Oreochromis niloticus: one gene and its partners. The protein of the gene in region 4 interacts with the protein of the main gene of each other region in a pairwise test. Links are inferred from orthologs where the notes say so. Each region holds a gene or a part of one and is shown on either strand. Other genes may lie near its edges.

Region 1 (7,401 bases), on a different chromosome or scaffold from region 4:
ATCATCCACTTTGCACTGATTTATTGACTTGTCTGAAACTGATTTTCTTCCTTGACTCAAAAGCTGTAATGGAAGGCAGATGAAGCCCAATAAATAAGCAATTTACTTCAACAAAAAGCTCAAAAATACAATGGGTTGCGTCATAAGTGTACTCAGAACACATCATGTTAAGCATTATTCTGCTACATCTCCATGGATGGATGAATAGATGGCTTTGGGCGTCTTCTGAAATGACAAAGAAACCTTTTTTTTTTTTTTTTTTTTTTTTTAAAGAAGTAGTTCAACATTTTGGGAAATCTGTTTCATAAATGTATTTGCTTCAATGCTTTTTGCCAACAGACTGTAAATAAAAGATGGGCGTCGCCACCTCAGTGTCAACCTTTGGGTTAATGAAGGCTTGAGCCGAGGGGTTTATCTGTTTTTGCCATTTTTATGATTTGAAACTGTGCATGATGAATGAGGGGTGGGTCTGACTAAAAAACCAAGGACATTGCACAATCATAGGTTAGCTACTTGTCAATTACAAAGTAAAACAGCTTCTGTTTTGTTAACGAGGTCACCACTTACAAACTGGACCCATAATTAATGTGTGGAACTAGCGATCGAGGCCACGTGTTTAATCTGTAAACTCTCACAGATTAAAAGAGCGTAGAGCCATTTCCTTTAGACATCTATACAGTTGTGAAACCAGAGTTGCTGCCCCCTGTTGGCCACTAAATGAATGACGTGTTAAGGCCCTTCACTGGCTTAATTTTGTTAGTGTTTTAAAATGGTATTGATGAAACACTAAATGCATTTCCCAAAATGTTCAACTCTTTCTTTAGTAGTGCATATTTTAAAATGGAGATGTAAAAATTTGAAATTGTGAGTCGAAACAGAATTTAAATTCACATACCAATATTATTTTTCTGTAAGTTTATTTTGTTTTTGTTTATTTTCCCCTCTCTACAAAAGAAAGGAAAAAGAAGATAAAGCAAAAAAAATCCCACTAACCTCATTTAAGGTCTTTTTTTTTTTTTTTTTTTTTTTTTTTTTTTTTTTAGCAATGACTCCTATATGTCCTCTTATTTTTTTTGATGTTACTAATACTTGGCTTTTTTACTGCTTAGTCTCTAATTTAAATAAAAAAATGATATTTTGCTTCCATGTTATTTTTAGATTGTTTTAACGTTTTCAAACCTCAAACATTGTTTACTGACATCACGTGGAAGCTGTTCAGTTGTTGTCATGTGGAGCGTTATAGTCCTGTGTAGAATACTAATGCAATTTGTTGTTGTGTTTTTTTTGTTTAGTTTTTTTAACATAAATTTTGCTCTAAAGGTTTTATATCTCTGTGCTGGCCAAAACTATAGTCACATCTAAATTCGGCTTCTAAAACTCTTCTGTATTACTCGGTGTGTTATAATAAATGAATGCAGAGCTACGTGTACGACCATATTGTGAAAAAACAAACCAGCTTTGATAAATTTTTACCAGTCACTTCATATCTGCTCTTTATTTACATATCAGCTTGTTTCTGAGGGAAACCGTCTGCAGACTTGAAGGTCATTTGATTTCATGTCATAGTTGTTTTTAATCCATAATAATATCCAAAAGTGAAACAGAGCACTTCATTTTTATTTAACGCTACATCATTAGAGTTTAAACATGATGATGGAGCACTCAGTCATACTGTTTCGTTTTTTTGGTTTTTTTTAAGTGTTATAAGCAACACCATAAAACAGCAAAATGTTTTTTTGTTTTTTTTTTTAATTCTTACTATTAGGCGACATCTTTTATGAAAGGATTTAACAGAATTGCTTACTTGAATGTTTGACGCTAACATGTCAGCATGCACTGTTTGGTAATACAACCACTGGCATATGCTAAAAACAATTAGCGCTGAGCTAATTTCTTTTTGTGGATAAGCTGAGTGGTTGAAAAAAAATGTTGCATTCATCTTTATTAAGAAGAAGAAGAAATGTAAAAGAAAGTCAACAAATATAGAAGAATTGGAGAAAGACATTTTTGGATGAAACTGGGGATTGATAAATAGGAGAGCTGACTGTTGTGGTTCTCTGTGGACGAACATGTAAAACTTATTATAGAAACCAAATAAAACAACAGGATTTTATAACTTCTAGTGTGTAACTTTGTCTTATGTTTGTGCTTGTTTAGGAAATTATGTCAAGGGTTACACTTTTAGTTTTTTAGCACCACTTAAGAAAATAAGATGCATAAAGCTACTTTCAGCTTGCTCCCTGGCCACAAGGGGTCGCCACAGAGGCTCGCTTCATGATCTGTGTTAAGTTATATTGGCTTTTTGTTGTTGTGGTGGTGGTGGTGGTGTTTTGTTTTGTTTTTCAGGCTCTTCCCGATGCAGTAAATTTAAAATAATACTGCAAAAAATGGTGATAATTGAAAATACAGAAAAAAGAAGTAATTGAACCATTAGTGAATAATAAAGAGTAATTCATTGTCATCAGAGCCATCAATATGAAACAACTGCAAACAGTACCAAGAGAAAAACATGTGTGGTGGTGCTGGTGTTGACAACCATGATCACATTTATAAACACTAAAGCAAAGCTTATATGACAAATGAATGAGAGCCCAGTTGTATTTGGTGCTCTTAAGGGTGCAGGATGGGTTTTCTTTTTAATTAATGAAAAGTTTGTTGACAGGAAGGTAATCACAGAACGGTAACACGGAGGTCTTCAGCTTGAATCCCTGTGTTTGTATGTTTGGCTCACTCTGCAGCAGCCCTCCGCTCCGGACTATTAATAGTCCTGTTAGCCCATTAGCAGCTTAGTCCTGCCAACTCCATTCTGTTGATTAGCAAATACTTCAGGGTTTTGTTTTTGTTTTTTTGTCTGTCCCTGGGAACAGACCTCACTGCTGTATGCTGACAGGTTGAAGGCCACAAAGGGGTCTCTGGGTCACATTGTGGACGAGATCAGGCTTAGGTTCTGCATGAGTAATCAATTATAGTTTACCAGGTCAGAGCCTAGCATAAAAGTGATTGTACAACAGTTAATTCATAGCTACAGTGACAAAAAGAACATGTCCTGCCTCAATGTGCAGCATACAGTGAAATACAGATTCAGACTGCTTCATACATTTATAGACTTTACTATTCTTAATTTTAGGCCAGTAGTCAGCTTTCCTCTGCTCTTTAACATGACTGCATAGATAAACTTCACGTCTTTAGTATTAAATATTAATAATCACAACACATTACTTGATTTGTCTGATCACATTTTGCCCTCATATTAGTTAAAATGACTTGAGTGGTCCATAATATGATGTTGTTGTAGTTGCATCATAGTTATAGTTTGTTAAGTTTAAGCCCCAAAAAGAAATTCCTCAGCTGTCCCATCCTTTGATGCCCAAGCTACTGTATAAATGTGATATAATCTGAGGTTTTCTTGCACATTTGACACAGATATTCAATAAATGCTTTCTCCTGAGACTGAGGGTGCTGAGGTTAAACAGTAGATGGTGCTCTTGAGTCAGTTATCTATTCTCTGACTGATATTTCTGTATTTATATTGGAGTTTAAATGTCCTGTGAGCTGTTGTTTGTTTGGAGCTGCTTGGCCAGCGATTCTGTTCAGCTTTTTTCTTCTTCTGCTTCTCATGCTTGATGACTCAGTCGCACACCTTACATTTATATATTTAGTAGAGTGGAAAATTAATATAAAAAAGCAAAGAACCAAACTAAAATTTTAACTTTATTAGGATTTCTTTTAACAGTTGAACCATTTTGGTAAGATTTTTTTAAAAAGATGTTGACTTCTTACTGAATTGAATGTCGCCAAGAAACTTAAATCAGCCGTGGAAAAGAAAATGCTTTAAATGTGTTGACTTGTACCCGGCTCATTATTTAGCAAAGCTTTGTTGACTGAAGTTTGTTTTTAGAGGTTTTAATATTAAATATCTTTGATTAAACAATATTTTCACCCGAGTACACACTTTGCTTTGCTCCAAATAAGAAGAAGGCTTGTTGGAAACATACAGCACAACAAATACTCCACCTTTCTGACTAATCTCCTGGTGAGATTAGTCAGAAAGTTGGATGAACAGAGATGTTGCGCACTCGGCGTGTTCTGCAGGAACAAACAGACATCTAAGTTGAGTAATGCTTCAAGCTGTTTATGCCAGCATGCTAATCACCTGAAACTTTGCTGTCACAGGTTGCATTATGTCACCAGGATCCCCTCTGAAGTATCAGACTTCATAAAAATAGAATAATTTGAACCCAGATACCGAACCCTGCTGTGATCCCCTGCCACGCCCAGACTTTCAGGAACGCAGTTTAGACAGTAACCCAAGCCAGAACAAACTGAGGAGCTAAAAATACCAACAGAGGGACAGGCTGGCTGCTGTGGGCCTGAGGTGTGTGGGAGGGTCTTTACTTGGGCTTTAGGCAAGCTGGCTGTGGCATAAAGCGGTGGACATGGACAACTGTGGTTAGAAATGGCGTAACAGCTAAGTGGAAAATACTAAAACCAACTAACTTTACAGCCATTTGAGAGTAGAAGGGCAGAGCTTCCTGACGTCTTTGACATCTTCCTCACTGCCGGAGGTGATGAGCTTTGCTCTCGGCTTTAAGCACCCGACAGCAGGCAGCTCTGGGCCCGGTGCTGGAAGCGGAGCCACCATGGAGAATCTGGAAAAGCAGCTGATCTGTCCCGTCTGCCTGGAGATGTTCTCCAAACCTGTGGTCATCCTGCCCTGTCAGCACAACCTCTGCCGCAAGTGTGCCAATGACATCTTCCAGGTGAGACTGAAAGAAAAGAAGAAGAAGCCTTCGGGGTTTTTCAGTATTCAGAGATTACACTGTTAGTTTTAAAGGTTTTAGTTGGAGTTCCCCTTTATCTACACATCCTCAGAGTCTGCAGTGACCTTAGATTCACAGCTACAATGTGATCGAGTGAAAACCCAAACAGACAGTATTTATTTTGTCCTAGTCCACTCCCATGTTAGCAGATAGTATCTGTATATTAAACACGCTTTTGAAATTTAGAAATCACATTTAGTCATTTATCAACACCAACAACCTTATCTCAGAGGCTTTTTCTAATGTAAAAATATTTTCTTTCTTATAGATATATATTTTTTCTTTCTTATATGCAAATATATTTTTATTTCGACCTAAAAAATCTAATTTAGGGGCACAAAACATTGCAGTTAAATGGCCAGATGTCACGGCACACCTAACATCTGGCTCATGGAAAGTGGATCTGTGGCTGAGCTGAGGCCTCGACTGACGGTGCTGACTCAGGGTGAGTCAGCACCGTCAGTCGAGGCCAAATGTGGCCTGTGGAAAACTGCAGATGTGGGTCACATTTATTGCCATCTGGCTACCGATTCTTCAGTTTAATAAAAGTCAAAGCAGAGTCTTCCTCTCTCTTCACTGATACTGGGTTCATATGTGCAACCAAACAGAAATCCACCAGTGAAGCAGTCTGAAGCAGTTTGTTGTTTGTTTTTTCCCCCCCTCTTAAATCCAGTCAGCTAATCCTCTGTGGCATTCCCGTGGTTCCTCCAGTGCGACGGCCAGTGGCGGTCGCTTTCGCTGTCCGTCGTGCCGCCATGAGGTGGTGCTCGACCGCCATGGAGTCTATGGCCTCCAGAGGAACCTGCTGGTGGAGAACATTATCGACATCTACAGACAGCAGGAGTCCTCCAGGTGAATGACCCAGAGAGGGAGGGTTGAAAGAAGGGGTAGTAACCCAGGCAAATGTTTCTTTTAGTGAACTTTTTAAATCATCACATGTACATATTTGAGGGGGCACACTAGCATTGTAGCGATGTCTCAATACAGCCACAGGATTGCTCTGATGAAGCTGTGCCTCTTAATTAATGAAGTCTAAGCAGAGTTAGGCTTGTTCTGTTTGTTTTTTTTGTTGTTTTGCAAATACCAGATACAATGGTATGTTGGAGATAAAATACTCAGTTTGAGACAGTTTTTTCTTCTCTTGCTTCTGTATGACATCATTGAGAGGGTATTAATAATCTGCTCATCTCAGGCCCAGACTCAGTGGCCCAGACTCAGAAGCCACACCCACCTACTATTCAAGCTTCTGTTTGCAGGAGCCGGCCAATCAGGAGAGAGATGTCTTGAAGGGAGAGAATCTGAAACAGCATGTTCAGTTTTTGAATCCACCTTTCCAGTAATATTTGTTAGTTGTATTAAACCAAAGTCAAGTAGTTGTACCACTGGACACCCAAGACAACCTCTGTTTATATTTCTTGTTGTTACTATGGGACTCACCTTCCTGTGTCTTCCTCAGAAACATTTATCTCATTAAACCAATCCTGATTCACTACTAACTGCCACGTCCAATCCGGGTAAACTCACAAAAGTTAATCAGTGCAAGTTCATCCAACTAATTTATTTTATATTACATTATTATTATGTAATGAGATTAATACAAATCTAAGTAATCAGAAAAATCATAAAAATTAAACATTATACTGTTTGTAAAACTTGAAATTCTTCGTTCATCGTTTAAAAACACTAACATGTTTATCGAGAGTGCACTTAGCTGTAGTAATGAGTGACTGCCTGCAGAGAGCAGCATCATATTGTATTACAGCAGGTTTGTGGGTTTGCATGTTTGTCAGCAGAGCAGAGGTGATGTATGCATATACTGTATGTTGTGTTCTTGTTTATTGTGGCTGATATGAAGTATATTTAGCAGTAATGACAAAGCCATGCATGCTTACATAATCAACATCATCATAATCAAATAAACAACATTTTAGCGTTCATTTTTGGGTGATTTGTCTCTCCTTTATTCCCAGAGACATATTTAAAGACAAAATCAAGCACAAGTCACTCAGTTTTGAAGTACTGACTAAAATATGTTAGCCAGTCTTGAGACACGTGTCGGTTTTATATTTTATTGTATTTTCTTTATTGGTATATTAATACATTTTGATGCACAGGTTGATGATTACAGGTGAATGATGTGTTGTGTGCACAAGGAAACATGTTGGAAATATGAAGAGTGTCTTTTGTATTGATACATGAGAAAAAGAAACTTCTGATGCTTTCGCTGTAGTAACAGATTGTTACAGATTGTTGCAGTAACACATTCGATTTTTAATAATAGGTAGACAGAAAGATCTTTACTATTTAGATTTTTGCTGAAGAAACCCAAATTCTGAACCAGATCTAAAAGTAGAGTCGTTTTCTATGAGTGTATCAACCAGAATCAGTTATCAAATATTTCCCCAGCATGACTCATGTGGAACCTGATACTGTAACTGTTCCACCTGAGTATAACCAATACCCGAGCACTGTAGAAATGATAGTATGACAGTTGTTTCCACACGCATGCACTTTGTATAAAAAGTAAAGCGTTTCAAGCAGCAGCCTCTTTACTACATCTGCTCTCCACACTTACTACAAC
Region 2 (7,870 bases), on a different chromosome or scaffold from region 4:
CTTGCAAGCCCCCTGCTGACAGTGCATTACTACAACCCCCTTTGGTTTCTAAAAGAGAAATTAACAACCACCAGTAATTGGTTTGGTTATTGTATCAAGTTTATTGGACATCAATGTTACATGGCCTGAAAGGCGCATGTACTCAAGTGTGCGCATGAAGCCCAGCTGAAGTGTCTCACTGAAACCCATTTTTGACTGTGTTGGATTAGAGTAGAAAAATCTGCTCAAGAAATACTGAGCAAGAAAAAAACAAAAACAGAATACATACAAAAAAACTGCTTAAGAACAATGGATGCAAGCAGGAGTGAAAAAGGAACACATTTGAGTAGTCGCTTGGTAGCTAAGGCATGCACATCAGTTCAGTATCAACATGTATTTACATCTATGTTTTTTCTCACGCTAGTAGCATTTTTACTAGATTACATTACAGTGTACAGGGGTTCCCATTATTTGGTCCAACCACTGTATTTGCACGAATCCAATACACCTTTTAGTGTGTCTTCAGCTCCCAGGGTATCCCCCCAAAAAGCTTTTTTGTTTGTTTATAAAGCCTTCTGAGTAACTGGAAATCTATGACAATATTTACATCTGGATGATGAACAGTCACTACATGATCTAGTCAAAAATGGTAAAAACTCAGAAAAGGAACTAAATCCCATTTGGAAGCATCAGTTTGCAGCACCAGCTGCAGCTTCATCCTTCTGCCCTTCCTCTGATTCTTGTGCCGTCTTTTTGAAGAACCGTTCAGCTCGCAGCTCCTCAAAGCAGAACTCAGCAGCACCATTTAGCAGCAGCTCTTTACAGTACATGCTCTGCTCCTGTTGTTTTCCCGATTCTGCCTCCTTCTGCTGCTGCTGATGGTCCTGCAGCCTTTTGAGAGGAGTCTCCTCTCTGCCCGGCTTACGCGCTGACAAAACTGTGTTAACTGCTGGGTTGATCTTACATGGAGTCCTGAGGGAGGGACAGAACAATGCACTTACATTCGGGTTAGGAAGACACTAATCAACATGTGACATGAATATAATATTTAGCAGGTAAAACAATGACATAAAACGGCAGATAAAAACTGGATCTTTTTCTGATAAATGCTACTAAAAATGTGAAGAATGCTAGAAATACTTTTTAGAGGGAACTCAATACTAAACAGTTTCCCTTAACTGAAAGTATTTATGTTTGTCTATTCATGTTTGTAGGTGCCTCCAGAAAACTGCACCTAGACTGAACAAGCGAATGATATGACAACTCAGATGAGAGAGGAAGACTTTTTCTATTTGTTTATTTGGGCTTTTCAATTAAATGTGTGTATACATCCACAGATCTTGGTACTCAGGCATTTCTGTCTGTTGTCTCTTCGTCTGTTCTTTTTTTCCCGGTCAAAATAATGATTTAAATTAAAAGTGAATGAATAAATAAATAAAGGTATTTGTAGTAACTCACATTGTAGGAGGCTGATCTGACTCCTCCACAAATGGTTGGAAAGTGAGTTTGGGAGGCGGCGGAGCCATAACAGTATGCCCAAATTTGGACTTCTGGGGCATCTATGACGACATAAAAAGAAAATTATGAATCAACTTTGCATAATGGCTTTCAACACACACGACAATGAGCCTGTTCTCCCATACCTTCACATCACACCATCGCTCGAGCTTCTGCTCGTTCTCCTTCGCCCTAGATGTGGGAGGAGCCACCCAAGCTTCCAATCTAGGCTCCGATGGGCCTGCGCTTTGAGCCTTATTCTCGTCAAAGATGACCAACCGACTGTTACTGCCAAGAACAGGGGCGCCTTGTGACTTCAGGCCACCGGGAATACCTGAGTACAAACCCATTATGTTTTTCCCAGTCTTAAAGCACTGTTATCATCGATGTAGTATTTTGAAACAGATTTTATTTGTATATTCATGTGCTTACTTCTGATCGCAGCCCCTGTTCTGTTGACGGGGGCGACAGCCTTTTTCTTCCCTCTGTGTTTCAGATCAGCTAGAGAAACTCTCTCGAGTTGCTTAGGCTCATCATCACTGTCTTCCTCCTCCACATTCATCATCACCTGCCGGGAAACGCGTGCCTGCAGTGCCCTGCGAATATAAATACAGAAAAATGTGATCACTGTAACAACATAACAGAGATATTCATTTATCAGAAACTATACTGGAAGACTCCATACTTGTGAAACTGTAGGAGTTTATCATGTGGCTCAGCACTCTTTCTGAACCCCTCTTGGTAGACCAAGTCTGCTTTGCGGAAGTTGCCCTGATCCTCATACTCCTCTGACCAAGCGATGTAGAGGGAAGCTTGTGTTACTCCAATTCCTTGTGCTTGCATGTATCTGTAAATTTCCAAAGGCTCTTGGCAGTTCTTCGCCTGGTGACATGTAATAAAACGTTATAAATGCAGCATTAGTTTGTCAAAGTAACAGAAATAGTCAGAGGTTATACTTTTGCACTCACAAATTTGATCCAGAGGTCAACATAGCGGGGGTCATTGTGATAATGTTTCTCCTCTGTAAATCTGGTCACGACTCGTTCCAGCAGTGTGGTAAGGTTGCTCTCCTTTCCTCCCTGGGGGAAGGTTTGTTCTGTCCACTTAATATACCTGGAAAAATAAAACCGTGTTAGGATTACAGGGAAATTTAAGAGCAATGCTTATGAGCACACTTGGCTATTGACATATTTCCCTTACCGATCCCAAACACTAAGTGGATCATCGCCCTCGTATGTGCGCAACTCAGACTCAAATGCCCTGCAGAAATAAATATCCACAAGGTCTTTTTTCATCATATGAAAAATGCATGGAGAAATTGTACAACAATTTAAGTTTAAAATAGCCATCCATACTGTCTCTGTTGGTTGATTGCAGAGGTGGGTCCATCTTGTTGTTGACTCAGCGCCTGATGTAAGGCCGATATGGCTCTACCCCGCCTCAAAGGCTGGATGTTTTCTTTGCTGAGCTCCCATTCCACATCTCCTCCTTCTGCCATTTCTGAAACAGAAACTAGATACATACAGCAGGAGAATTAATTATTTGATATTTATCCCCTGCTGAATTTGTAATTAAGAATTAACCAGAACCCCAGAAAAAAAAAAACTGCAAAGTTTTAAATGGATTTGTTATTTGTTATTGAGTTAAATAAGTACTTGATCCCCTACAAACAGCCAGAAGTCTGGCTCCCACTGATTGGCTTTGTGCCCATGTGGCACACAAATTACAATCAATCAATTACAGATACCCTGATCTCAACTCGTTATGTGTATAAAGCACACGTGCCCACAGAATCAGTCCTGGATCAAAGCCATTATTTCGCCCTCTGTATACACACATTTAATTCAGTTGCTTGGGCTTTTTAAGTCGTCCTATTTTTTTCATTTCTAATCTGTAATCTAACTTTAATAAGAAATCATCTTATGGGCAAATCAATAGAACAATAAAAATTAAACTTAACCCTTTAATGCCTAGTGTATCATATTTGACACAAGAATTTTTGAGACTACTACATCATCAGTGTGTTCAGATTTTCTGAGGTGGCCTTCAGAGTTTTATCTATGCTTTAAAAATCTACCACAATGCTGTTGTTTCTCTTTTTTCCCCAAGTCTGCCTGGATAAGCCTTGACTCAGATCGTAACTTGAGGGAGGCGTTGGGTGTGCCACTAAATCATCCTTTTTATAACTCAAAAATATTGCTAGAATGCAACCTTTTATCTTGGTGACTCTGACAAACCAGTTTTATATACATAGCAGGCAGGACTACTCTAAGGCTCTGCTATCTGATCTACCTAAGATCTCCTTGAGTTGATTCAGATATCTGCTGCCAGACTTACTACGACCAAAAGGAGAGGACACATCACACTTGTTGCAAAGTCCCAACACTGGGTGCCTGTCAGTTTCTGTATTGACTTTAAAATCCTTTTATTTAAATCCTCTAGCTGTTGCAAAGTGCAAGACAAAAACCTCTGGGGAGGCAGCTTTTTCAGTGTTATGCCTCAAGCTGCTGGAACAGTCTGCCAGAGGACCTGGATGTGTTGAAATCTTTAAACTTAACAGCCCCCTCCAAAGCCTAGGTGTGACTGAATATTCTTTACACACAGCCCTTGTTTTAATTTCATATAACTTCTTTGCTTTAAGTAATATGTAGTTTCATTCAGTTTTTATTTAGCCTTAAAATTATTTAATTTTTCACTGGTCAAGTCTGTTACTTGTTATTTCGTTTGATGCACTTTTGTTGTAGTTGTATTTAATTTTAAATAACTTTTTTGATGATATACACAAAGTTTATTATTACCTCTGTATAGCTAAAAGTAATAAAAGTATATATTACAGTTACTGTCATTATAATTGTTTATTACTTAGTCCTTTTGTGTGCGAACTAAATGGCATGGTGACCAAGAGGCATACTGAACAAGTTTTAGGACAACATGAGCTAACGATGCACTTCGACAACAATACATTTTTTAATAATGATGTGGTAAACTGCCATCGTATTACAAACCGTGTGACAGAGACACAAAATGATGTTTAATGCAGCTATCAACACTCTCCCTGCGTTCCTGCTAACGTTAGGAAGTGCATGCGTTTGGAGCTAACACACTAGCTAGCTAACGATAGCTTTAGCCTGACCAACTTTAGCAATGTTTCCATCGACGACAAATTTTCCTAGCTGAATTAAAATAGACTTTCTACAAAACGTGCGTGTTCTATACCGCTTCCGAGCCTCCTTTATTTCTTTTCTAGGTGACAGCTGGAACTCCAACGTTGTCGCAGTAAACCTGTTGAACGGTTGTGTCTGTGTTTTGAACAAGGACCGCCAGAGGTTTTGCAGTATTCTGATTGGACGATTCGGAAAACCGGAAGATGCGTATGCATTACGTCACACCTCAGCTTCCGCGTTGCTTCCTGTTTTGAATGAACACCTGAAAATAGTTGCTAGTAGCTAGCTGCCAGATTAATGCTCACGACTGAGTGTGTTTTCTTAGGCATTTTAACCCACTGTAGCTGTATCGATAGCATTAACATTCCCCTACCCATGAGCCTCTGCACGTGTCGGTATGGACAGTCGATGTTATTGTTGTGCGTCCAAGTTTAGCCTCTTCAAGAAGGAGGTGAGTATTTCACGGCTAATGCTAACCACATAGACATACATAGGGGTACATTTTGAATAAAGTGATCTGTTTACTGTTCGTCATAGCTGGGCTGTAAGAACTGCGGCCGCTCCTTCTGCTCCAGCTGCTTGACTTTCAGTGCTGTGGTGCCTCGCTGTGGCAACACCCAGCAGAAGGTCTGCAAACAGTGCCATGGTAATCTGACCAGGTAACGCTCAAACCCTGCAAGGAGGAAAAAAAAAACTAAAAGTAGTTTTGTTTTGGCTTTGGAGCTTCTCTCTTATTTAAAATTCTTTCTTTTTAGTGGGCAATCTTCAACCAGTGCTGGCAGATGGTCTCCTCCAGAAAACTATAAAAAGTCAGTGTATATGATCAAATAAGGGAATGACTTAAACTTTGGCAGCACAGCAGTTTCATAATATCTAAAGTACACGTGTCTTCCATTAGACGGGTCGCTGCACTTGAGGCCAAACAGCAAGGACAGCCGACACAGCCTGTGAGGACTAGCAAAGCAGGACATCCACTAACCAGCGGCCTGAGCAAAGAAGATCAGGCGATTGCTGAAAGGCTTCAAAAGCTCAAGGAGGACACAGCACCTAGTAATAAGATTTTTAACAGCTCTCATTTTTATTTAATCTAGCAAGTGCAGTATTATTATAATATTTTCCAAAATAAGGTAAGGAGTAAGCTTTTTGCCTTTTCTTCAGAGTCTGTCCCCTCTGACAAAGAGCTCAAGTCCCGACTTGCTGCTCTGAAAGCTCCCAGCAAGCCAGTACCTTCTGCAGAAGAGATGGAGGACCGTCTGGCCACTCTGCGGGGCCTCCCTCCACCATCTCAAGCTCCTCGACCTGTGAGCTGAATCTCTTCCTGCTTGTTTGTAACATCTTAGGCCTTACAGTACAGCTCAATAGCTTCAAATATTTATTTAGAGGGAACTCAATACTAAACAGTTTCTCTTAACTCCAAGTATATATGCTTGTCTATTCATGTCTGTAGGTGCATCAGCCTCCAGAAAACCGGACCCAGACTGAACAAGCCAATGATTTGATAAGTCAGATGACAGAGGAAGTTGCAATTGACAACCAGCAATCAAATCCTGAATGCAGTAAGATATTGCATTTCTCCCTGATTTCACCTGCCTTAAACCAATAAGTAATGAGTCAGTCATATCATTCATTCTTATATCGTAAAATTAATAAACCGGTACTGAACAACACTGTTATTAAATCTGAAGGTGTAGATGGCCGTATGAATGATCTCAATAAAGGTGAGGCAGGTACACTGGATGAGAATTTGGAAGAGAACCAGGATGCAGCCAAGCAGCTGGAGGCTGAGAAAGCCCATCTGCTCGAGGAAGCTATGGAGGAGCTGAGGAAAGAGCGTCACTCTCAGGATCAGATCCTCCACATGGCAAAGAGGCTGGCAGAGCTGAAGGGGCAGGACCCGGACAAAGGTGAGTTATTCGAGCACCATTCACCTCACCTTATCTGTTATCCACTGTTTTACACTAGTGTGTCATAAAATACGATAAGGACGTGCGTTGTAAATGCAGTTTCCATGACAGAAGTGCTAGTATGCTAGTGTATCATGCCCCATTTTCATTGTGATTCATTTATAGTTACTATGGAGGACTTCCAGCAACCTGACAGTGAAGAGGAGACTGAAGAAGAAGCTGTTATGAGAGTGTTAAAACAGGTGTGGCAAAAATAACCATCAGATGATAATGAACTATAAATAATTTGTTCCTGCATACATCTTACACCCCTAAAGGCATGAGTGAACTAATTCAGACCAGTGTGCCTAGCCACAAGGGGCTGCTATTTTGCCAATTTAATCACTTCTTATTTTTTCTTGTATTCTTTCAGCTCTCAGAAGAAACTGTACTAGATGAGGCCAGTGGCTACAACATACCTTTAGAACAGAGTGGCCCAAGGAATAGGGAAAAGAAAAAATCGTCCAAGAAACCGGTACAAAACCACACTTGAATTTTTTATTTTTTTAAAGCTACGTGAGTGCATAAAATTTAAATCCAGATCTGATTTTATTGTAAAGGCTCCACCTCCGGCACCTAAGAACAGGAACCTACCTGCTGCTGATGCACATCAGCAATCAGACAGTGATGAAGAAGAGCTTCCATGGTGCTGCATCTGTAACCAAGATGCCAGCCTTCGATGTCACACCTGTGATGGAGATCTGTACTGTAACCGCTGCTTCAGGTAGTATGAAATGCATTAATTATAGAAAGAAAGAAAAAAGCCTAGCTTTAGACTCATGGTTGACTTTTGCATGGAAGCCTTGACTGCACACAAAAAAACAAGATCTCTGTGATTTGGAATGCATACCATGACCCAGATAAATTGCAGGCAAGCTGCTGCCCTACTGTTAAGCAGCATGAATATAAAGTATTTAGTCTGATGAATTATCAATCCATGCTTCATTATGTCCCCAGGGAAGGCCATGATAAATATGACAGGAAGGAGCATCGCACCACTAACTACACTGCGCCAAAGAAGAAGAGGAAGACATGATAGTGAAGCTATGCTGCAGGTGATTGTTAGAGTTAGGCCAGCCATCACACTTAGACTTGTTCTTTAGCCTTAAGTGACTTACTATTGTTAGAAAACAGTCTCTCTAATCATCTAAAACAAGCCACAAACCATCAGAACTCATTAACATATTTTATTCAGTAAATGCTAAGGCTGAACTAATTGAATGGCGCATAATAAGAAACTACTGGTAATATTTCTTGCAAAGCACCGGCTAGATAAGGACCATAAAC
Region 3 (7,077 bases), on a different chromosome or scaffold from region 4:
CTCAAACCTTCTCTTCAAAACATTGAACCTGAGAGGTCACCTAGGTATAATCTCAGGAACTGTAATTTAAAGTTTGCTGATAAAAGCATTAGGAAGTCACAAGCACCTCTATATTTTGGTGTCAAAATTATGTTAACATACTGTAATACACAATTCACTTAAACATGGCAAACAAAAAGAGGATTAAATAAATGTAGTTTTGTTTATACAAATTGCGTTTTTTTTAAAATTTCTTTTGGCATAAAAAAATATTAAAATAAAATTAAATAAGATTAAAAATATAATTTATTACATTAGGAAATGTCACTAAAATAGCTTTGTCACTTAACAGCCATCAGGTCACCCGTATCCCACTTTGAGTTAAGGTTGAGTTAATATTCACCTCTCTTCGTGGAATTTTCCCTGTTTGGAAAAACCAAATGGAAAATCCCATCAATGAATAACTGCAAGGCCAAAATGTACGAAGGAGACTTCATTTGAAAAATAACAAATTCTAGTTTCTGGAAATTTGCTTGTTTAGCATGTGAGTGAAACATCACCTAACCCCAAATGGTTTGCTGGAGATTTGGTGGGTGTTTAGAGGTTAGATAATTCAATTCAATTTTATTCATATAACGCCAATTCAGTCGCCTCAAGGTGCTTTATATTGTGATTGAAAAACCCTCCAATATTAGAAAGAAAACTGACAATCATGAAACCACCTATGAGGACTTTGGAAGAAAAAAAAATGTGTTTAACAAGATGAAAATCCCGCAGAACCAGGCTGAGGGAGGTGCTGTCACTTCTGTCACAGTTGGGGGTGAACGGAGGAAAGCAGGACAGAAAGCAAACCAGTCTAAGCCTATTGCATCACAATCAGTCCACTAGGGTCTATTTGACATAATCTGGTCATCAAATAGTGATCCTGAGGGTCACATGGAGATGTCTGCATGCCTGCCTAGTTTTTGGGAGTGTGCTGACTTTTCTGCGGGAAATTATATTGAAATGCACCAACTGTACATGCATACCAGGTGGACTTCAAGTGGGCTTTTAATAAGTAAAACAGGAATGACTGCTCGGCTGTTGGTGCTTTAGCTGTTCCTGTCCATAACAGAGTAAAATCAAGGCCTAAGGGAGGATTCAGAGTCACCTGATCCAGCTCTAACTATAAGTTTTATCAAAAAGGAAAGTTTTAGGCCTAATCTTAAAAGAAGAGGGGGTGTCTGTCTCCAGAATCCAAACCGGGAGCTGGTTCCACAGAAGAGGGGCTTAATAGCCGAAGGTTCTACCTCCTGTTCTACCTCTAAAAACTCTAGGAACCATAAGTAAGCCCGCAGAGAGAGGGCAAAAACCTCATTAGGTTAATATGATACTATTAGGTCTTTAATATATCACAGGGCCTGATTAAGATAAGCATTATATCTCAGAAAGTTCTGATAAAGTGTATTACTATGACACTACAAACCTGTTGCTATGAATTTATCCACTGATCTTGAAATATTAAGAAGTGAGAACTAATTATGCAACTTTAAATCTGACTTTTTAACCCAACTATAATGATGCAACATCTTGCTTCATAGTTTTGTTGATTGTGAAAACTGCTGCAGCTCTACTTACATGCCATTTTCAGTAGTCCTGAACTTTTGTAGTGCTGGTAGATAAAGCTCAGATCTTCAGTTGACAGCTGAATGCATTCCTCCAAAACAGAAGGAGCTGAGTCCAGCCAGGCTACAGTCTGTAATCACAGCACGGTGTTAATATAACCTGCTGAAAATCACCTGAAACACTTATGTTATCTGACTGAATACCTGCTTTAGGTCTGGTACTGGAAGCAACTTTTCCAGCTTGGAGAGCAGATCCCATAATAACATATTTAGTGCTGAGTCATACTGTGGACCGTATTCCACTGGAAACACTTCCTGTAAGATAATTAGATGTTATTTTTATTCTGAGCATTTTCAAGCAAAGATATGAAATACTAAAATATGTCCTACCTGAAAAAAATATGCCCTCTCAATTGGATCTTTCAGCAGACTTTGAACCAGAGCGACAAAAGTAGACTCTGTTGTTTTCACCTCTGCATCTCTATACTGCAACAAATTAAAGTGATATGTTGAAAAAGGTACTGGGCACACTTTATTTTATCCGCTTCTCTTTAACGTACTTACATCTGTGTTTTCAGAGGTTACTGGTAGTCTGTCCAAATGGCTCTGGATTGCTTGAGAATCAACAGAACCACGTGTCGAGCCTTTGCAAAGCTCCAGTATCAACTGAAATATCAATAAACTGAGTTTTTACAGAAGCAATGCAGCAAAATAAACATACATGGATGGCATGCCAGCCAGACTACCTCCTCACCCTCGCTCTGAGTCCGAGGATGAGCTGGGCTCTCTGCCTGTGGCTGATCAGACCAGGAATCGCCTCTGTCACTGTGAACACGAACTCCTGCAGCTTCTGGTAGCTCATCACATCTTTCTGCTTCACCAGCTGCCACATGGAGGCAGACAGAAGCTGCAGAGGTGGCACCAGGAGTTGGAGGGATGAGAGAGACAGGCTTGGATCTAAAACATAAAGGTGTAATGTAACAAATGGTCTTTAGAGGGCAGCAATCAGCTTTAAACTCCAGAACTCACATTATAACAATACATATATGTTATTCATTTAATTCAGTGCTGCTCATATATTACTAAGACAATAATTTTCTTAGGTAAAGCAATGACACATATGTATTTTTTGCCCTGTATTTAAACAGCCACAAGCTTGGGAACCCGAATAACTGCTGGACAACCCTTAATAAAAGGAGTTTTAAATTTCGATTCTTCAAATATATCACCAGCTATGGTTTAGATAATACATTAAGCATAATACTTGACAGAATAATAAAAAAATCAGAAAATAATTGATTGATTTTTTTATGCTAAAGCTTAAGTTTGACAGCGTGTGCATATCACGATTCCTTTAAATAGACGGCACCCGCTAACTGTGTAACTGGCATAGACAAAGCTTACTTTATATCGCAGCTGGTTCAGATTGCCACTGTACCCACCGCTTGTTTTCTCTGCAGAGTCGAGAACCTCCATGGATGCACTGCGCCTCTCGTGGCGTCGAAAATTAGGTGTTGAGTTGTATTGTTTTAGTTAGCAGCTAACATGCGCTGTTCTTACGCAAGCACCGTTTCCTCAACGCTTACACTCCGCTTCCGCTTTTCAAAATAAAAGTAACAAAGTTGACAGGCGACTTGTCTCGCTGACATTAATTTCTTACAGTTTTGTTTTTAGTTGGAAGACAAGATAGGACAGACTTTCCTAATCCTAAAAATCCTAAAAATTTTGTGTTTCCATTGTTACATCAATTAAAATTAAGTCCCTCTCAAAGTAAACATTGCATCTGCATATTTTTCCCAGCATGGAGCTATACTGCTGCTTACTGATCGTCACCTCTCTTCTTAACCTAGCTTGAAGAATTCCTTCTCATAGCGTCACGGTTTGGCACATCAGCCTTATCCCTCAGTAATTACACACATCACCCTTGTTCTTGGCAATCAGTACCACGATATTCATGTCCATGTAAAAAATAACAGTAGATTGTAATAAAGTAAATATATCTCCTATCCAACAAAGCAAGATTTAAAGAATTAAAATTAGCAACAATATAACTCCAAGTATTCTTTTAACTGAGATGTTTTTTAAATTTAAAAAGCATGAACATTATTTGATAATGAAGACCTCATTGTTTGAGTTCATTGTTTTGCTTGCCTCCTATCATCTGTTCATTATTTTTGTTTTCAAAAACCTATAAATAAATAAATAAATAAATGCAAATTATATACAACAATAGTATTTTTATGGCTAAATTACAAGTAGCACCGAATGGAGCAAGAGTTCAACTTTTACTTTGAAGTAACACCCAACCCACCACCACCTCTTAACTTTATTTAACACAAACAATTTACAGAAAAATACAAACATGGCGGTTGAAGTCATATATTAGTGCATATAATTCAGATAAAGCGGGGTACAAGAAAAAATACAGGGTTAAAAAAAATACAGGCTCGAGGGTTTTTGAAGCACGACTTCGAAATAAAAGGCAGCCTTGTGCTACGCAGTTGATGACGTCAGGACGTGATCACGCAGCCCAGAGTCACGTGAACCGTTTCACATATGCAAATGTTTTAATAACCCGTTTTCGGTCGTTTTTGCGGTGAAATTTCTTGCTGCTGAATTTGAAAGTGCACTTTAATCTTCAGCGATCCAACATGGACGAGGACGGGCTGCCCATCGTGGGCTCTGGAGTCGACCTTACCAAGGTTGGCGTTGACTAGTTAGCTAACATAGCTATTTGAGTAGCTGGTGAGGAAATGAAAGCAGGCACAAGCAGAGCTGCTTGACATATGTTTTGTTTAAAAAGTAAGATAACACAAAGGCTGTTTATCGGTGATAGAAGCCTATAGCTTGTAAGTCATTAACAGATATGACTGTCACAAGCTCTTGTAGTTCAATTTCCCTGATAAATGTGTGATTTTGTTTTGAAGTGAATATATGTTGTTTCTACACTTGATCTTCCAGGGTAACAGATTTAACCTTTGCAAAGAGATATACTTACGCTTATCTTTTTAAAACAGTTTTGTTTAAAATAAATCTATGAAGTGAAAATGTTTGTCATTTGTATAAATAACTGTTTTTCGGGAAGGGATGCTTTTTATTTTATTAACCGTTCTGGGTAATATTAGCTAATCTAAAATGCTATTTTCCTCTTGTGAAATATAAGTGGTATATTTTGCATTCAGCATTTGAAGTTGCCTGTGAATGACTGTCAGCATGTTAAACTTGTTCTAATTATATTTTTTTCACAAGAATAATAAAAAAATATTTTTGCATCACATTTAAAAGCAAGATGCTTTACCAAAAAACTGGTTAAAAGGTCATAAAAGACAGAAAATGAGAACATAAAAAGAAAGCAAAACATAACAATAAAATATGAAATGGCATATATATCGTTTGGAGACAGCACTACTAAAGTTGTTAAAAAGATGAAGATGTTCAGATTTTCATTGGGAGTGATCAGGGTGGACCTGGAGACAAGGCGGACATGTTTTGGATGTGCAGAGGAGGGATATATTGGACAAAGGGTGTTAAACATGGAGCTGCCAGGCAGGAGGAAAAGGGGAAAGACCACAGAGGAGGTTCATGGATGAAGTGAAGGAGGGTGATTTTCAGGGCAGGGTGAAGTGGAGGTGAATGATCTGCTGTGCCGACACCTAAAAGGAGTAGGGGAAACGTATGCAGCCTAGGGAGGAGAAGTTGCTTTAAGGGGAGATTGGACTGGGAGTTGTTTCATTTCCTTGTTATATTACACTTATGATCCTTCTACCTTAAATTCCTTTTCCTGTGTTTCCTTCAGGTTCCTGCGATCCAACAGAGAAAAATTGTTGCCTATCTCAATCAGTTTGTTGCACACACAGTCCGCTTCCTTAACCGCTTTTCCACAGTGTGTGAAGAGGTTTGTTTATCTTTGTTTCTTCTGCTCTCGTCATGAAACAAAAAATCTCTGTAACACTTAAATCCTGAACTGTTGTATAACGTCTTCCCACAGAAACTTGCAAACATATCTCTTCGCATACAGCAGATAGAAACCAGCCTGTGCATTTTGGAGGCCAAGGTGAGTTCTGAAGCCTCTGAAGGCTGCAGTGCAACATTATCTTAATTTCATGCCAATTTGCTTGATATTTATGGAGCAATATTGTGCTCTGTGTAGTTGTCTTCCATTCCTGGACTGGAGGACGTCACAATCGAAGGACTCGGTCAGCAGCAGACTGCACAGGCCAATGGACCCATCATCCCCAATCAGAGCCAAATCGATGGTCCAGTAGCAGCGCCTCAAGGAGAGGTACATACACAAACTCGTACACATGGAAACATAGCTCCATCAAGCTTCGCTGAACTGCAAAGTCGAGGATTTTTTTTTTTTTTGACAGTTTTAAAAATAAACCTGTGAGCAGACAAAGGTTTCAAAGCACCCCCAAGACCACCTAATTAGAACTTAATATCTGACCTGTTTAGTCCGTTTTCAACTTGACAACCCCACATTGAAAGAGGCTTCTCTAATGTATTTTTGACATGATGGGAGCCAGAGCAGCTTTTCTCTTGACTCTCAGGGTAACTCAGTCTTTTGTATTTGTTGTACAGACGTTCAAGTAAAGTTTTCCACTGTTTTGACTACAGTGTGATGATGTCCCACCACATGTGTTTTTATTTTTCTTCCTCTAGATGAAGAAAGGGAATATTTCCATGGAGCTTTATCTGGCTGAAGTTCAGCTGTTTCCAGAGTAGCTCTTTTAATGCAAGAGAGCCAGTAAAGAGAAAAAACTGAAGTAGTTGGAATTGTTGAAGACAAGTGAAACTTTGTTGTTCTTTCTTTTTGGGAATCTAATTTGTCAAATGTTAGTGGTTTTGATGATCTCCACCTCTGTTACTGAAGTGAAAATGAAAGAACTTCAAAGCAGGAATCTCCCACTTGTATGATTTATATCTACCAGTGAAGCACCTTTAAAAAAGAGCCACATGAAAATAGTTTAGGGTAAATGAGATGATGAAAAGAGAATAAATGTTATTTGAAAGATCCCTTGCAAAGAGGACCTCAAACAGAAAACTTTTACAGGCTTTCATTTCTCTTATTGTGAAGCATTTGCAGAAACATGTTTTGGAAAAGTCAAACTTTTTTTATTTAAAGACAAAACATTCATCTTTTTACAGTTAACACTTCATGTGTTATTCTACACAAAAGAGAATAGATGAGACAGAGAGGGCAACAAATCTCTGGAAAAGGGGAAAAAGGACCTGTTTAAGTAGAGAAAGGTGTGATGAATGACTGAATGCCAAAGGAGATGGTCTGACAGGGGAAGATTTATTTAAACTAAATATCATCACTGAAATCCTGTACTATGAGGTGCCACAGGGCTCCATATTAGGACTGTTGCTGTTTAGTGTATTCATCAATGATTTTTCCATTTGTGTATGATGGTGTTGCTGGGAGTGTTGTATGTACATTGTAATGTCTTTGAGCAAGTTGCTGTTAACTTTTTGAATGGTGAATGCTAAC
Region 4 (7,748 bases):
AAAGAAAAAAAAGAAAAGAAACTGTTTTACAACCATAATGTTTTACTCTAACAGGCTTGTTTGCACTATGCACACACACATGTGGGTGCGCCACAGAGGTGGTTTAAGTGAATACCTAGCTTCCCTGAGGCCAAAATACTTCAATTCCCATTTGACTGACTTGATCCTAGTTACAGACCTATTAGAATGATTGCTGTAATCATGTTCCACTCCCACCATTACTATCTCTACACCTACATCATTGACAGGCACACATATCAACTCCAATTCACCACTAATAAAAAAATCTCAACAACATCTTATCGACTGGATCTTGGTAGCCCGGGGCCCCCCCTGACATGAAAAGATTGGAGAAGGAGCCTGTGTCAGACAACAGTGGGCTACCGAGCTCCCAATGCCCTTGTAATTCGACTGGTGTGGATCAAACCCGTTTCAGTGGATTTCCCAAATCCCCCTAATTTTGCAAGGCAATAAAGAGGAGCAGGGATTGGTGTAGGGGGGGGATATCCTCCGCGGAAGGTGTAGGTAGCACTCAAACATAATGATCACTGCTTTATAAATTAATGCAAGGATGCAGACCCAGAGAGAAAACCAAGCCACAGCCCACGTAGCATCGACAAACTGCTGTAGTGTGTGTGTGTGTGTGTTTGTGTGTGTGTGCGCGCGCGCCTCACGTTGTGACTGGGAAGCTTGTTTAATCTAGGTCTAGGACGGTGTAATATTGGATAAAATGGGGAAAATAAAACACCGAGCACAGAAAAGAGCCACTGTGGCAAATCGCTAAGCAATCGCTTTAAAGAACACAGTCAACCCAGATGTCAGTGATCAATCTGAACAAAGATTCATCTCATGGAGAGAAGAAAAAAAAAGCATTAAAAAATATCAGAATCATTAGGTTAACTCACCTGCTTATTCACAAGCTAAGACGCGCTCCATCTCGAGATTTCCTCCATACTATGCCCGTCAGTTACATAAAACAATATGTTTCGTGCGTGTGTGTGAGTGTGAGTGGAATATTTCTCCGGTTTCGGTATCAAACGCGCAGATCTTCACTCTTATCTCCTGCTTCGCACAGTCTGTGTGCTTTGCGCATTCACGACGCCAAGGTCAGGAGCGCCAACGGTTTTAATGGAGCGCCCACCATAGAGATCTCTCTACGGCGCCCACTGCCAGCGCGTTACTAGGCAACCACCGGGATACGCCGGTGCATTAAATTCACCATCCAAAAAACCCGACTGAATCCCAATTTAGAAACCATTAACTAAGCACCTTAACCTCGGACTGCACTCATGGGCGCACACGTTTCGTGCAGAGGTAAAACCCATCTACGACTGACCAAATCAAAAAGTAAAGTGAGCAGGCCTGCACGGAGAGAGAGAGAGAGAGAGAGAGAGAGATCAGACACATTTGCATTGGCAAAAGCCTTTTTAGCAAATTGTGACAACAACGGCAAAATAGAAAATTTTGCAAACCACCCTCCAGTGTTATCCCATGCTTTGCAGCACATGTTAGACCTGATCACCCCTCGTAGCAGAGTCATTAAAAAAATCTTATTCGTACTAGATCTACACTTTTTAAACAATCAGACTGAATATGCAAAAAACAAACAAACCCCCCCCCCAAAAAAGAAAAAAAGACCCACTATAGTTAAATGCTGTGAGTCAAAATGACCACAGGTGCTAGGAAACTAGTCTATGACAGGTAAGGTGGAAAAATATATCTTCCAAAAAACCCAGATCATTCCAGTAATTGTTTTTTGTTTTTCTCTAGCTTGCTGACTTTCTGTTTAAGCACCTGTATGTGGGGAATTGGGCTTATGCTTTTGTTGCATTCAGTGGTTAAACTAAATCTAAAAATATGAACATCACACTAGAATCTGTCCCAACGATACAGATGAGTTATGAGGCAAAGTCTGGGCAGTTGCTGACAGGGCAGACATATTCCCCCACATATCCTTTTTTTTTTTTTTTTTTTTTTTAATAATGCCCAGTGGTCACAGCTATGATGCACAGCTGAGGGATCATTTCTAGACTTCTTGGAGAGAGATGCTGCCCAGTGTAGTGTGCTTCAAGCTGGGTTGCAAATGAAAGCTTTTTAAAGAAATGAAAATATTTTGCATATATGTTGGTTCCCATGCAGGGAACAATACCTGTTTATTACAACGAGTTTCAAATTCATCTGACCACATGAGCAGAGTACTATTGGTTATCAAAGGACAAAAACATTGTAAATCTAACAGTCGCCATTTATTCAATTTTAGCGTTATTTGCCTAACTCAGTCAAAAAAAGCCAGAAATAAATCTACCAGGTCATTTCTTAGTGACCTCTCTAGCCTGAAGTCATCCTACAGCTGGCCTGATAGACCCACATCTTCTTTTTAATCAGTGTTGCCTGACCCTGTGGTTCCAGGTCTGGGTCACACACTCATCTGTCAGCTCCTGCGTAAGATTTGTAAGGCTGCCAGATGGGTTAGGAATGGTCCTGCTTAAGTTGCTTTCAGAAAAGGCAGAGAAATGCTGACCTGACAGTATCTGTATGTACACAGCTGGCAATGCCCTTGTGGTAAGAAAAACAGGTCACTGTCACTGAAGCAGACAGACACATCCACCTGGGAGGGTAAAAGTATGAAATGCCCTGACTAATGAGGAACCAGTTTTTCACAAATGGAGATCTGAGCATTTTAACCAAAAATTTGGGTCGGTCAGTTTAAAATCTAAAATACTGGGAAAATTATAGACCAGTATGGGATTCATGTGACACTCTGATATAATAAAAACAAACATGGTTATCTGAATGATCCATATGAACAACGGCTGAATTCAAACTGAAGAGCGAGGGCTCTAATCAGAAAAGCAAGTCTGCAGAGGTTGGAGAGTTGGCTCAGTGCTGTGGTTGAAATGGGGTTCTCTGTAGGTTCTGCTTGTTCTACAGTTTACCTAACAGAACTGAAGAGTGAACAAAAAGCAGACCTCTTCACCATTGCTTCAAGAGCCCTGCTAGAGCCAAACAAGGAACATTTTAGTCTGGACCCAGATCAATTTGCTGCCTGCCTTTATCAAAATGTCCTTTATAGCTTTCATGTACTACGTGTTTGATGCTCTGCAGGTGGTCAATGCTCACCTTGATTATAGAAACAAAGCTTACATACTAATTCTCTCTCTCCCTTTTGCTTTTTGATAAAGGTGAGTATTGTCTTTCTTTTTTGATTCCCTTTGCCCTTCTCAATCCATCTTCCCCTCTGCGATGTTCCTCAGGACCTATGCTGCAGTGCCCGCCTTGTGGTAAGAAGATACAATATCGGCATGTCCAAACAATGCACATCACTCCTGCTGGACTCCCCTATCCACCCCTTCACCACATTAAGGATATTATACAAGATGAACACTATCATGTTGTACTGACATTCCCTGTCTTTCTCGGTGATGTACCATATCATCTTGCATTTATTTGTGATCATTTATGGAAATGAATCAACCTAAAAGGTCTCTGTGTTGCTCAAAAATGCCATAAATAGATGATATAAAACTTTAATGAACCCCAGGGGGAAAGTGGGTCATAGCAGCAACAGAAAACAGGATATACTGTAGGAAACAGCAAATACAAATGTTTGCTGCAGACACCCGGGGAAAATAATACAACGGGATACGTGAAATATGCTGGTTATCATGACTGTTAGATAGATAATATTAGACAGGATTTTATCTGGAGGTGGCCACATGTGTACAGTTTGTGGATTTAAATCACAAATGTTGTGTGTGCAAAATGTGCATCACTGGAGGAAAGTAACTCATGAGTAATCTACAAAAATTTGCAAGTGCTTCATCTGAATTATATAAGGATACTAATGATTTTACAGTTGTGGGTAAAATATTTATAGACGCCCCTCAACCCCCAAAAATTCTGTTACGTAACCAAATGATCACCAATTGCTATTCAGACCTGCACTTATGAACCTGCTCAGAGTGCCCTTTTCTGCAAGGCCGGCTATATTATGCAGAAATGATGTGGCTGTCAGACACCCCTGGGTGTTCTTGAGGTGAGGGAGTCCCAGGCAAAGAAGGAATGTTGTAATTTTAGGTTATCACCTCATTAAGTGCATTTACATGAGACCCTTTACCACTAATTATCTAAATGATATCCCTTTACATCTAGATAATGCCTGAATATAAATGGCTCACGTAACCACCTCCAAAAGAATGGAATGACACAGACTAATGATTTATTTAACTTATAAATATTTCTCCTATAATAAATATGATAATGTGTGTTTCTTATTGTTGAAACTTGTGGTTTCTGCACAAAGGGACAGGAAAGCTCATATATCATATTGTTTTCATAATTTTTACATTTACTATGTTTTTCTAACTAGTGTCTGTTTTCATCTAAATAAAATATTTTCGAATTTAAATTTGCCCAGAAGGACAGTTAATTTAGTCCTCAGTGCCCCCTCTTCTCAACATATGCTACCCATCACAGAATACCTTCTGTGCTCCACCCACAGATGGTGCTATCATTTCAGGATTACGCCCTGAATTTGGTCTATCAGGAGAGCTCTTCCAGTAGACGCTGCAAACGCTGCACTGAAACGCATACAAACAGGCGGCAATGCAGGGTTACGATTTAGGGGATATTTAAAGGCAGTTTACGTGAAATAAGAACTCCTGCGAGACTATAATTAGGGAAATGAAAACCCAAATACATTTTTACGCTCCTTCCAATTTCCCATGATGCACTTTGGCGTTTCAGTATGTAACAGTTATGCTTAAATAAACCATTTAATTTGTTGAATTTCATATGCATAGATATATGATACATCGAAACTTTAACATGTGGGTTATTTGAACGGAAAATAACGACTGATACGACCAAAAATTGCCCAAACCGAGAGCTCTGAATGTTGCTGTTGTACCCGTAACTAAGGCAACGGTGAAGAATGACGTGACTCGCGGGAGAACAAACGCTAAACGCACCACAGCAGTCGTGTACTGTTTCCTTCCTGTGTGGTGGCAATAGTTATTCAACATGGAGAGACAAACTTTAGGGAAGGAGAGGCTGATAGTGCCCACTGATTTCACCTCACCAGCACTTCCGAGTAAGTTGCTCCTAAATTCTTGTAAAGGTTGAGCTAAATAAACTGTTAATTAGCAAATGTTAGCTTACAGTGCAGCCCACTTGGCGCTTACATTAACTCATGTTTAACAAGTAAAAGTGATTTTATTCTTCAGGAAGCTGCCATGTTTATCTTTAGTGAACTTAGCATAACAAAGGCTTGTTTGCGAACATGGGGAACCTTATATTGGATTAGAGTAGCTAATGCATGCAAACACATAGACACTGTTTTATTTTATGAAGGGGAGACTCCGGAGGACCTCATACCGCCATCGCATTTTGCATCAAGTGCCCATTCTGCTGGAACAAACAGATGTGTTCAAATGCCGGCGACACAGCCACCCATCTCCTGGATAAACCAAGGCATGATATCAGTACCATCATCAGGGGAACCAAGTCCTGCCAATCCATGGCTTGCCATCAATCAGGCCCAACAGGAAATCTTGGAGCTGAGGAAGGAAAATCAGAGGATCTTGATGCTACAAGGAGACAGCATAAGGACCCCTGATTATCGTTCAGATTGTAGAGCCAGGTATATCCACTACATGTTTTATATGGTCTGTCACTTGGGTGGCAATATGGACATATTAATGTGGTCTCTTTCCTTTTATGCAGATCAAAAGACAGAGGAGATAATTGGTCTCGATGGGAATCAGAGTGGCGACTGGAGGCAGAAAAGCACAAGGCTGAAGCAGAGAGGTTAAAGGGGCAGGTGGAGGCACTAAAGGAGATTGCAGAAAGATGCAGGGAAGAGGTCAGAGACAAAGACAACACCCTTAGCAGGTAAGAGATGTGCTTGTGTCATTATGTGACATCTCCGCACATTTAGTATGTAACCTCACATTATGGAGGTCAGCAAATAATGGTTTTGAACAAGCTTAACTTGGAATAACCTTTGCACAACAGACACAGCCATGAGATGGAAGCAATACATACGGATCTATCCAAGGCTAAGTCTGAACTCAGCCAAATCAGAGAGGAGCTCAGTTTCTGCAGCGCACAGAAGGAAAAAATAAGCTCACAGGTAATGATGTTTACTGACAAAACATTTCATTTCGACACTCTTGTAGACATACATCACCTGAGAGTTACTGGCATTTTCTAACTTATTTTGGCAGTTTGCAGTTAAATTTGTTTTTGTACAGTTTTGTGATCCCAATAAAACCTTTTAGTCACCTTTAATTTAACACGTTTCACAATAATAAGGTTAATAAAGTCTGCTTTTTCTGTTTGTAATATGTCTGTTTTTTCTCACAGCTTGAAAGACTGAAAGCAGAGTCTGATGAGGAAATTACAAGGCTGAGGAGAGATGCTGAAAGGAGCAAAGAAGAATCCCGGGAGCTTGCTTTGAAGGTTGAAATGGGCAGGTTGCAGGCTGAAGAGGAAGCCAAACAACAGACTCTCAGACTATTAGAGCAACTAGAGGAATTTCAGAACAACAAGGAGGTGGAGGTGTGTTTAACTGATCATAAACATTGTACTTGGGTGACCTCCTTTAGGATTAAGGGCCTTAATGCAACAACCACTAAGTATCTCTAAGCAGAACTCTGAGCAGTTCCTTTCACTCTGACTTTGCAAGTAATGCGAGAATGTGTAATTGAAGATGAATAAGTCATTATGTCCCTATTTGTCTGTGTCTTAAACTTTCCTAATTTTCAGCTGCAACAGTTGAATGCATCCCATCATGCAGAGTTGGATGCAGCACAAAAAACAAATGGTGAACTACAGGACCGACTTCAGTCAGTGACCTCAGAACTGCTGCAGCTAAAGAACACTCTGATGGAAGTATCTACTGAGAGAAATGGACTAAAAGAACATTTAAGGTGCTTCATTCAATCTAAATCGGAACAGAACTAAAGCATTTAAAGCACTCTGTAGTCACTGTTTTGTGTGTGTGTGGTGGGGGGCATGTTGTTGTTTATTTTTCAGCCAAATGGGACAAGCTTTTGAGACACAGTCTGCTACATTGCAAAGCCTCAGAAATTACATCGGCCAGCTTGCACCAGAGAAAGGAGAGAGGGAACGATTAAATGAAGCTGTTGAGGTAGAGGCAATATAAACAGTATTGATCGTAATGAGCATACTGCAAAGTAACTGCATGGGACTTTCAAATGTTCTTTTCACTAGGGTAAAGGAAGAACAGTAAAATATGAATGAGTTAATGTACAAATTATATAATTAACTCTAATTGTGTGTAATTTAATCTTGTCCATTTTGCAGAGGCTGAACAAAGAGAAAGCTGCTCTTCAGACAACTGCAGAGCTTTTGACAGTCAGGCTTAACTCTGTGAATGAGATACTCGCCCTCCAAGAAGAGAAAATGGTGAAAAAGGTGAGTGGTTTTTTTCTTTCTTTCTAAATTTACATAGCAAAACATGATACAAAACTGTGTTTAAAACATCTGGTGATCAGCAGCAGTCCAATGTGAAACCAGCAGATGCCTATGATTTTGTGTTTTCTCTAAGGATGTTTGCGGACCACGTAAGGTAAGAAATGTCAAACTGAATATACATCACAGACCACATTGAGTAAGCTGGACTAGTGAAACACACCTTTCTTTCTGTGTATATACATTTAACTACACATGTAATATCTGAGATATCCTAATGAGAAGAAAGGGCCATTTTTGTACATAATAAA

The links.
Region 1: the proteins of cchcr1 (region 4) and trim54 interact in binary tests that used the Homo sapiens proteins (3 or more experiments, as listed by UniProt). The link is inferred for Oreochromis niloticus from reciprocal best matches to the Homo sapiens genes CCHCR1 and TRIM54.
Region 2: the proteins of cchcr1 (region 4) and zfyve19 interact in binary tests that used the Homo sapiens proteins (3 or more experiments, as listed by UniProt). The link is inferred for Oreochromis niloticus from reciprocal best matches to the Homo sapiens genes CCHCR1 and ZFYVE19.
Region 3: the proteins of cchcr1 (region 4) and washc3 interact in binary tests that used the Homo sapiens proteins (3 or more experiments, as listed by UniProt). The link is inferred for Oreochromis niloticus from reciprocal best matches to the Homo sapiens genes CCHCR1 and WASHC3.

The regions. Positions count from the first base shown.
Region 1 is NC_031980.2:21,569,161-21,576,561, reverse strand, and holds the start of trim54 (tripartite motif-containing protein 54), read left to right. Parts: upstream 1-4,381; 5' UTR 4,382-4,568; coding exon 4,569-4,760; intron 4,761-5,493; coding exon 5,494-5,672; intron 5,673-7,401. UniProt on the Homo sapiens protein: May bind and stabilize microtubules during myotubes formation.
Region 2 is NC_031983.2:8,750,095-8,757,964, forward strand, and holds the start of zfyve19 (abscission/NoCut checkpoint regulator), read left to right. Parts: upstream 1-4,856; 5' UTR 4,857-5,037; coding exon 5,038-5,091; intron 5,092-5,177; coding exon 5,178-5,299; intron 5,300-5,395; coding exon 5,396-5,449; intron 5,450-5,538; coding exon 5,539-5,690; intron 5,691-5,798; coding exon 5,799-5,941; intron 5,942-6,087; coding exon 6,088-6,196; intron 6,197-6,325; coding exon 6,326-6,544; intron 6,545-6,709; coding exon 6,710-6,786; intron 6,787-6,956; coding exon 6,957-7,058; intron 7,059-7,143; coding exon 7,144-7,307; intron 7,308-7,540; coding exon 7,541-7,619; 3' UTR 7,620-7,638; exon of another isoform or gene 7,639-7,870. Other genes in the region: bub1bb (mitotic checkpoint serine/threonine-protein kinase BUB1 beta), read right to left, coding at 669-951, 1,438-1,538, 1,623-1,810, 1,909-2,072, 2,162-2,358, 2,445-2,589, 2,677-2,736, 2,832-2,974. UniProt on the Homo sapiens protein: Key regulator of abscission step in cytokinesis: part of the cytokinesis checkpoint, a process required to delay abscission to prevent both premature resolution of intercellular chromosome bridges and accumulation of DNA damage.
Region 3 is NC_031981.2:14,035,748-14,042,824, forward strand, and holds the start of washc3 (WASH complex subunit 3), read left to right. Parts: upstream 1-4,075; 5' UTR 4,076-4,234; coding exon 4,235-4,285; intron 4,286-5,379; coding exon 5,380-5,478; intron 5,479-5,571; coding exon 5,572-5,637; intron 5,638-5,733; coding exon 5,734-5,865; intron 5,866-7,077. Other genes in the region: zinc finger protein 184, read right to left, coding at 1,597-1,714, 1,788-1,898, 1,974-2,069, 2,148-2,249, 2,338-2,540, 3,026-3,059. UniProt on the Homo sapiens protein: Acts as a component of the WASH core complex that functions as a nucleation-promoting factor (NPF) at the surface of endosomes, where it recruits and activates the Arp2/3 complex to induce actin polymerization, playing a key role in the fission of tubules that serve as transport intermediates during endosome sorting.
Region 4 is NC_031975.2:10,915,529-10,923,276, reverse strand, and holds the start of cchcr1 (coiled-coil alpha-helical rod protein 1), read left to right. Parts: upstream 1-4,744; 5' UTR 4,745-5,022; coding exon 5,023-5,092; intron 5,093-5,352; coding exon 5,353-5,641; intron 5,642-5,724; coding exon 5,725-5,892; intron 5,893-6,015; coding exon 6,016-6,133; intron 6,134-6,366; coding exon 6,367-6,561; intron 6,562-6,768; coding exon 6,769-6,932; intron 6,933-7,038; coding exon 7,039-7,153; intron 7,154-7,329; coding exon 7,330-7,440; intron 7,441-7,573; coding exon 7,574-7,594; intron 7,595-7,748. UniProt on the Homo sapiens protein: May be a regulator of keratinocyte proliferation or differentiation.